Linked DNA regions of Nothobranchius furzeri. Each later gene encodes a partner of the first gene's protein in a complex. Links are inferred from orthologs where the notes say so. Each region holds a gene or a part of one and is shown on either strand. Other genes may lie near its edges.

Region 1 (4,351 bases):
TTTGCACTTTAATCACACGAAAAAATGTTAATTCCCGTTCTCTAAAGGGACTTTACAGAGTTTTGAAGTTTTATGCTCGTGATTGCCCCCTCAGGCCAAAAGCGTAAAGGCAGCTTCAATAGTGGGCTCGTGCACGAGGCGCGCATGCTGTACGTGCACACTCCTTAACGAAAATAACAGCTGAGACAGTCCCTTGTGTGTGTGTGTGTGTGTGTGTGTGTGCGTGCGTGTGGCCCGGAGGACAGGAGAACACGCAGCTAATTAATTAAATAATGTGGTTCTGTACCTTTCTCTTCAGCACAGCCGACAAAGGTTTATGATGGGTCAGTCCTCCTGCATGCTCAGATCATTCCCTTCCCTTGCTTGAAAAATTGTTCCAAAATGAAAGTTGAACCCACATCTTTTTTATCTGTGAATTCAATGCCGTTTGGCGAGTCTCAAATAAAAATTTGGGCATCTTACTGTAAAAAAATATACCATTAATGTAAAAAAGAAACTCTAAATAAACTATGTTCACACCCAGAATCAAACCCAGGTCTTCTGCATGAGAGTCAGACATCTTACTAGGTGAGCTAAAGCACCAGTGATGTCCTTTGTATCTGTAACATTTATATCCTTGATGACAGATGAAACAACGTCAAACCAAAGAACGGTTCGGAGTGAAAATGGCTATTTTGTTGCTAATTTGCAGGAAATATCTAGAAGAAAGTTCTACAGAAAGTAGCTAAGGGTCCTCAGAAATGTAGCTAGCTTTGTCACTAGGCGTTAGGAACAGCGACAAAGTGGCACTGCCTCTCTCTCTGCTGCTAAAGCTACGGATAGCAAACGCTACGGGCGATGCCTGAGCGTGAACGCGCATGAAGCAGCCTGCTCGACCCGAGCATCTCTCTTTTTCTGTGATTTTACAGAAAAACAGGCAATCACAGTAAAAAATGCCAGAGCTCATTCTACAGGACCAGGGCATTGCAGGAGAACGTATGAAGAAGACATTTATTATTTCTATACATGTTTGGCTGTCAAACTTCCATAATGCCCCTTTAAGGTCTAACGATCAGTTGCTACTTTCTGTTCCTTTTGCTCGCACACAGTTAGGAAAGAGAGCCTTCGCCTGCTCTGCTCCTTCTGCTTGGAACCAGCTGCAGAAATCCTGGAAAATGACCGAGCAGGTTTCACTAAATGCCTTCAAAACCAAACTGACAGCTTCAGAGACCGCATTAGTAACTTGTAACTGCTTTTAATGATTGAGTGTTTTATCATTGTCATTTTGTTAACTGGAATTTTTGCTGCCTCTTGGCCAGGGCTCCCTTGTAAAAGAGGTTCTTAACCTCAATGGGTCTCTATCCTCGTTAAATAAAGGTTAAATAAAAATAAAAATAAAGGTTCTTTAGCAGTTCAGACTAAATGATTTACAGTAAAAACATAAATTAGTAAATCTGCATCAAGTTGGCTAATAGAACCAGGAAACGAGTCACAGAATCACCAATTTGTAGCACATTTATGTAAATTAACATTTTCTCTTAGTGATAGTTTTCATTTATTCCACGCTCTTTATCTAAACATGAAAATAAAACATGTTACTGAATCAAGGACGCATTTTCAGAGCTAAAATTCAGCTTCCTATCAAACTGTTATTGATGTTTTTGAACATTTCATCCAACTTAAAGAGTTCGTTTACATGCTGATCACAAATGTGTCATCTAAATCAGTAACAACTTTTATCAGGAAGAGCAAAATGATTCGTAAACAATAAGAAAATAAATGAATACTAGTTGTGCTCACAGTGTATTTATTATTTCCTAAAATAAAGAATAAGTTTATGAGTGTATGTTTGAGCGTGGGGGCTAAAAACACCCACACACAAGATAATTACAGACTTGAGAGAAAACTGCTGGTTTTATTTCTAGTCCTTCAGTTACTCAGCTCATCAGATATGAAGGAATTTCATCATAATCAAAAACAGATGATTGTGTGTGAGATACCTGGTATACTTCTCCATCATCTTGTCCTCTGCGTGGTTGTCCTCTGCGTGGATGGACAGAGATCTGGACAGAAAAATCTATGTTAGAAATTCAGAAGATAGATCTCAACTTTACTGAGCAAGACCAAACACGTTCAGATTTCAGATTTATTGGCCAAGTAAAATTACATTTACAAGGAATTTAGCTTCGGTAGATGTTCGCTCTCTAACACATACAACAACTACAATAAATGAGAATAAAAATACATGAAAAACACATAAGAACACGTATACCCACACACATGTTCATTTACACACACACATATATACATATGTATACACACACACACACACACTCATATCCATAAGCATACTGAATAAGCATTAAAACCTATAATAAAAAGATGGTAAAAGAATCTACAGATTCAGGAGAGAAATGGCTGAATGAAAGAAACTGTTCTTGTGTCTGATAGTTTTTGTGTACAGCGATCTATCGCGTCTGCCAGATGGGAGGAGATGGAAGAGAGTAGATGCAGGATGTGTGGCATCTTGGACAATATTCACTGCCTTTTTCCTGGTCCTGCTGATGTACAGTTCCTGGACAGAGGGCAGCTGGGCACCAATGATTTTTCCTGCTGTTTTAATAATACGCTGTAGTCTGCATTTGTCCATTTTTGTGGCTGACCCAAACCAGACAGTGATGGATGAGCAAAGTATGGATTCCACTGCAGCAGTGTAAAAGATGATCAGCAGCTCTTGTAGTAGGCCGTACTTCCTTAGTTGCCGTAAGAAATACATCCTCTGCTGAGCCTGCTCCTTTGCCCGTCTCAACGGGCTCAGTATTGCTGTAAACCTTGGCTTGTAAAATTGGAGAAATAACTAAGAATTGATGTTACGGAAACGCATGTGAGTTCAAACGCCTTTAGCAGCTAGCTAGCTAGTTTGGTAAACGCTCTTGTAAATGCACCGTAAGCTCACTTACTTTTCGAGTCTGTCAGAAACATGAGAAACCTGTTCATCGTGACGAGAGTCCATTTTGTTACTTTTCTGCTAGTCCGTTGTAATAATACAGCAATAAACTCTACGCAGATGTTTGCATTTATATCTTCTCGGATTTCTCCGCCATTTTTTATAGCCAATCAGAGACCACGCTGTGATCCCATATCCGGTTACGCTGTCCAATCACAAAAACGACTGGGCAGAACTTAGTTACGTAATTTCCGACTTGGAAATTCTGATGACAACGTACGACTGAATTCAAATTCAGCCAAGAACGAGAAGGTGTTTAACAGTTTGATGTAATAAGCTTAATGGTTCACCAGCTATTAAATCATTTTGGTGCTTTAATAGAATTCTGTTATTTAAATTTTTAACATCTAATACATTTTGGCATGTTTTGAATCTACAGTTGCAGTTAAACATTCCTCCTGTAGAGGGCGATGTCTCAAAAACTGTAAAAGGAAAGGCAGCTTTGTTTGTACAGCACATTTCATACACAAGAGTAATTCAGTGTGCTTAATTAGCAAGAATAGTAAGAACATTAAAAATCATCAAGCCAGAAAGTACACACAAACTAATTTTTGATTTAAAAATTAAAAGAAAGGGACTTAACTAAAGGGTGAAATTTACAATGATTATACAAAAAATATGTATAAAACTACAGCCTAGAGGTACTTTTATGAAGTGTCGAGAATGCATAACTGTCAAGTACACAGGTGGCAGGTACGGCCAGTCACACGTTGGCAAGTATCAGCAGAGCCAACAGATGAGCTTATGGATGGTTCTGATAGGAAGCAGGCTTCAAAACAAGCGGTTGTATTCCACTTGGTCCTAGTGCTCAATCAGTGTCTACTTAATATAGCGTAATATATTTTTGGGATGGTAAAAGTGCAGGGACCCCCCCCCCCCCCCCCACACACACACACACACACACACCAATCGGGCATCTGATTAGGATGCCTCCTGAACGCCTCCTGAGGTTTTCTGGGCATGTGCAACTGGGAGGAGACCCAAGGGAAGACCAGGACACGTTGGAGGGACTTTGTCTCTCAACTGGCCAGGGAACGCCTTGTGGTTCCCCCGGAAGAGCTGGGCTAAGTAACTAGAGAGAGGGAAGTCTAGGCATCTCTCGGCTTAGGCTGCTGCTCCCGCGACCCGACTCTGGATAAGCGGTTGAGAATGGATGGATGGAGGAGGTGGATGCCAGAGGAGCGCAGGGTTCATATGGTAAAAGTAGGTCTGAGAGATAAGAGGGCTGAAGACCATTAAGACCCTTAAAAACAATTAGGAGTACCTAAATATCCAAACAAGAATACACAAACACAGAGACTCAAAATCCCGGAGCAGTTTCCAGACCAGACCGAGGCTCTACTGAGGCCTTTCCACGGAGCTAGC
Region 2 (4,551 bases), on another chromosome or scaffold:
GTAAAAGATGGTTTTGCTGTTAGCCTGTGTTGGGTGGACTCTGGTCTGCATCATTAACATAACTTGAGACGAAACTGCGCTGAGGGGCGGAGTTTACGCGCCTCTTTTTTTTTTTTAGGAAACTCCTCCTTCTTTGCGCCTGGCCCAATGGTGATTTTTCACTTTCTGGTTCTAATTTCCATGTTTTTATTCTGTAAAATACTTTATTACAATCAGCCTATGTGACTGCTTTAAAACTGTAAGTAAACTGAAATGCTACGTGATTTTAGTAAAAAGAGTAAATGCAATTTATTACGTCGTCACTAGCCTGGCCTACCAGACTCATCCTCTGTTTAATTCTGCACAGAGAATGATTCATTCATTCATTGTGCAGGCTACGTCATCACACCCCACTGTATGTGGGATACAGCGGGATTCTTGTGATGTACCATTAGTGTGTTTAAAAAAGCATGATACATTTATTTAAATCGTATTTTTTATTCTTGTGACAAAATTCTATAATCATAAGTGTAAATTTAATTATAAGATATTTCCTCAAGTTGTTAAAAGATATGGCTTTATAAAATTAATATTACACCGTTCAAACAAAAAGGCTCTCAAAACAACTGGTATTTGGGGATTTTTGTTTGTAACTGCATAATTAATCCCTTTGGATGATTGTTCGTATGAAAGTATTTGTATAAATTCACAAAGTTTTTTTCCGGAACTGCGCTGCTCTGGGTGGCTGCATGTTGGAGTAGCTCTGTTGACTATATGTAAGTTTTGCCTTTTCTTGGGCATTTTTTCTTCTAGTTTCTCAAGAAAAACTATATTTTTTTTACACTTTACTTTTCTGTTTCTGGTGCTGTGAAGCTTGGAGGATTTTTACTGCTATTTTTTAGCTTTTTTCTCTTTTTAAGCATTTGTTATGATGCATAACCATGGCAACAAGCTGGTTTACAATCAGGAGCAGCTGATTAACATTAGAAAGGCTGAAATAATACCTCAACTGAAGCCACAAATCCCAAATGAGCTAAAACACAAGAAGCGTGGGTGCAGAGCGGGAGCAAAACGGAGACAGAGAAAGAGGAAATTCAAACCATCTCTTCCATCGATCATAATGGGCAATGTGAGATCACTGGCCAACAAGATGGAGGAACTCCAAGCCCTTTCAAGGACTCAGCCAGAGTTTCTGCAGTTTTGGGACCGCTGGAGGAGAAAATGCAAAGAAGGATTCTCCAGAGAATCAAGAAAATGATGGACAACCCTGAGCATTCTCTTCACAAGACTGTCCGACAACGGAAGAGTGTCTTCAGTCAGAGGCTTCTTCAGTTTGGCTGCAACACTGACCGCTACTGGAGATCCTTCCTGCCAATAGCCATTGTAATATACAACAACTCTTTGATGACTTGAGTATTATTATTATTCTGAGCTACTACAGCAATCAGTTTCCATCTGGGATTAATAAAGTATTTTTTAATTGAATTGAAATGAATTGAAATGTATTGAGCACTTGCACGTTTTTTATAAATTTCTAGCTGTTTTACTAACAGTGGTAGACACAATCAAAGATGTACATTAGCTGTGAACAGTTCGTCCGGGAGCTAAAAACAGTTCTTTTTTTGGTGAGCTGATCCGATGATTCGACTCACAGAAATGAGCTGAACTTCCCACCTCTCGAAGTGACGCAGCAAGCGCGCGCCCCGTCACTTCCCGCGAGATAGCCGAGAAGACGAGCGAGAAAAGCACAACAAGAAAAGCAAAACAAAACATTAACATTAACAACAACAGTTGCTTGTTAATAAACTACCGTGAGCAGTTTCCAGACATGTCCGGTGCTTCGCCAACGGCCTTAAAGGATGACACGGACTCGAAAAGGTGAGCTCCGACCGCCGGTCACGCGCGTTTACCGTTAATTTTACTAGTAGGAGGAAGAGATGGGAGGCACATCCACGCAAACATTACCGTGTCGTTAACGTTTATAAACCAAACGCAGCAGAGGTGAGGAATCACAGCTCGGACACTCGCGGTGGATTGAATCAGTGACCTCCTCGGGCTCTGGTGAATAGTTCAGCGGGTTCGGCGGTGATCCGGTTTAAACGTTAAGGGGCGGAAGAATGAGGAAGTGGCTGCTTGTAACGCTCCGCCGAAGTCCTCAGAAAAGAATCCAGATTTGTTTTATAAAGCTAAATAAACTGTTAAGTTGTTACTTTTTTTAAAAACGCTCATAAGAACACACTCAAGCATAACCTGGCGGGTGTTTCGGCTACAAACAGCTGATCGTGTGTTTCTCATAAAGATAACACTTATTTATTTGTAGTTCATTTCAGAGTGTAACAAAAAGTAAACACGGTGTACGTTGCTGCCATAAAATCAGGATATCATTCAAAGCACATTTAATAGTAGATGTTTAACCCCGACCGTGGTTTAGTGCGGATCGTAATTCCTGCGTCTATAAACGGGTTTGCATTTTAAAATGTCATCTCTGTAAAGCTGGTGACGAGTGGGGAAATATCACGAGTTTGGAGGCATGAGATCATTCTGCTTCCAGATCCGTGAAAGATACAAGAACAACTTGTACCACGTTTGCTGATTGAATTCAGTTTCCCCCCACAAGCAGCTCCGTTTATTAACAACACTGCACATAAATGGCAAATGGCCTGTATTTGATATAGCGCCTTCTAGAGTCCTAGAACCCCCCAAGGCGCTTTACAACACAATCAGTCATTCACCCATTCACACACACATTCACACACTGGTGGGGATGAGCTACGATGTAGCCACAGCTGCCCTGGGGTGCACTGACAGAGGCGAGGCTGCCGAGCACTGGCGCCACCGGTCCCTCCGACCACCACCAGCAGGCAACGTGGGTTAAGTGTCTTGCCCAAGGACACAATGACAGCGACAGACTGAGCGGGACTCGAACCAGCAACCTTCCGATTACGGGGCGAGCACTTAACTCCTGTGCCACCGTCGCCCCAGAGAGGACATAATTAGCTGTGAAACTACTGGAAAATGTGAAATGAATGAATGACTTGAGCCACATGGTGCAGAGCCGCTCGTTTTTGTGAAAACAACTGATTTCAATATTAATTATCCTTGGCTATTTTTATTATCACATTCTCACAAACTATTAAATCAAAGTCGCAAAATTATTCCTTATTCTTAAAGTGGTTGTTATAAAGTTTTCACACTAATACATGTTAGAAAAAGACCTTTAAGAGCAAGTCACCCCCTACCAGAGTCTTACTCCACTCCCACTTCCTGTTTGAAAAATGCAACAAATGCTGTTGCCTAGCGGGCCGAGAGGGCGGAGCCGCTAACAAACACACACAGGCTCACAACGACATTGTGACATCATATGGTACCAGCTAATGTTCTAGAGTACATCTTAGCCAGTAGCGATGGCAGATTTAAATTCAAATGCAGCGCAAAGTTTTTACCTGACAACGGCACAGCACTGACAGTTTTAGTGCAAAACTATTGACTACACGTGTCTGCGGCACGATTAGACACGCATTTATATAGCTGATCAGAAAAAAAAGTTGATTTGGGGGTGACTTGCTCTTTAACTGCCAAATATTCACAGCTCAACTTCTCGTTGTTTCTGGTTTTGATTATCTTCTTACAGCAAAACTATGTTCACTCGTTTTTAATCACGTTTTCTACGTTTGAAATAAATCAGTGACATGTATGAAATTCTCTTTCTAGGCTATGAATTCCTGCGAGCATGGAGAACATTCAAATGAAGCGATGCTTGAAAAGGGTAGGTCTCGCTCTCGTATCTCTGCATGTGGTGATGTGTTTGTTGCTGATTCTGGGTCATTTACAGAACACAAGTATGTCCAGGACGTTAAGGAGGAGCAAGAAGATTTTACTGTTTGTGAGTCATTCCAGGGACACGAAGGAGGATCTTCTGGGGTCACAGACGTCGGTAAAAGGTCGTCAGCAGAGATCGGCCCTGCGACACATCACTCAACCAGCAGCAAGAGAGCCAGAGTCACTAGCGCGGTACTGTATGTTTTCTACGTTACACTAATGTGCGTCTCATTGTTGCTTATTTAAGATTTGTTTGTTTTTGACAGATGAGGCAGCGTTTGATGGTGGAAAGCAGCAGACACGAGCCTCTTTGCCTCACAACGACAGGAGACAGGGGGCCCGGCTTCCTGGAGAAATCCGGATCCTCCTACAGAAAGCCTCTGTTCGGCATCTCGCACAGGATTTCAGAGAGGAGGAACACACCGAGTGTGGAGCAGCTCGCTAATCACGGCGGCTTCAGTCAACTCGACAGCATCCTTTCACCGAAGCTCCAAAGTCTGGAGCAAAACGGGCCCCTGGAGACCTTCTCTGCCACCACAGACTCCTCAGGCCGGACGTCAGCAGACCCGAGTCTTTATCCACTGATTGAGAAAATGTTTTTTATCCTCAACACACTGAACTCAAGCATGAGTCAGCTGCACAGCAAAGTGGACTTGCTAACCCTGGAAGTCATGCGCATAAAGAAGCACATGAAACCAGCTGAGAATGCGATGGAGTTCCAGCCTCCCCCCGAGTATCTGCTCACGAACGATG

What was found.
Region 2: the proteins of ercc6l (region 1) and bend3 are in contact, whole or in part, in a crystal structure (PDB 5JNO), measured with the Homo sapiens proteins. The link is inferred for Nothobranchius furzeri from reciprocal best matches to the Homo sapiens genes ERCC6L and BEND3. Residues at the interface, in NP_060139.2 of Homo sapiens: Ala10, Glu11, Ala12, Leu13, Ser14, Pro15, Glu16, Ala18, Ala19, Tyr21, Leu22, Arg23, Lys26, Phe51, Pro52, Asn53, Glu54, Lys55; in NP_001073919.1 of Homo sapiens: Glu252, Gln255, Ile256, Gln259, Leu261, Asp265, Arg269, Val272, Gln273, Pro276, Phe279, Ser280, Phe335, Arg338, Phe339, Gln342, Glu346.

Annotation. Positions count from the first base shown.
Region 1 is NC_091750.1:36,676,907-36,681,257, forward strand, and holds the start of ercc6l (DNA excision repair protein ERCC-6-like), read right to left. Parts: upstream 3,100-4,351; 5' UTR 2,993-3,099; coding exon 2,940-2,992; intron 2,043-2,939; coding exon 1,980-2,042; intron 1-1,979. UniProt on the Homo sapiens protein: DNA helicase that acts as a tension sensor that associates with catenated DNA which is stretched under tension until it is resolved during anaphase. Functions as ATP-dependent DNA translocase. Can promote Holliday junction branch migration (in vitro).
Region 2 is NC_091758.1:40,783,303-40,787,853, reverse strand, and holds the start of bend3 (BEN domain-containing protein 3), read left to right. Parts: upstream 1-1,670; 5' UTR 1,671-1,857; intron 1,858-1,885; exon of another isoform or gene 1,886-1,980; intron 1,981-3,690; 5' UTR 3,691-3,693; coding exon 3,694-3,990; intron 3,991-4,064; coding exon 4,065-4,551. UniProt on the Homo sapiens protein: Transcriptional repressor which associates with the NoRC (nucleolar remodeling complex) complex and plays a key role in repressing rDNA transcription.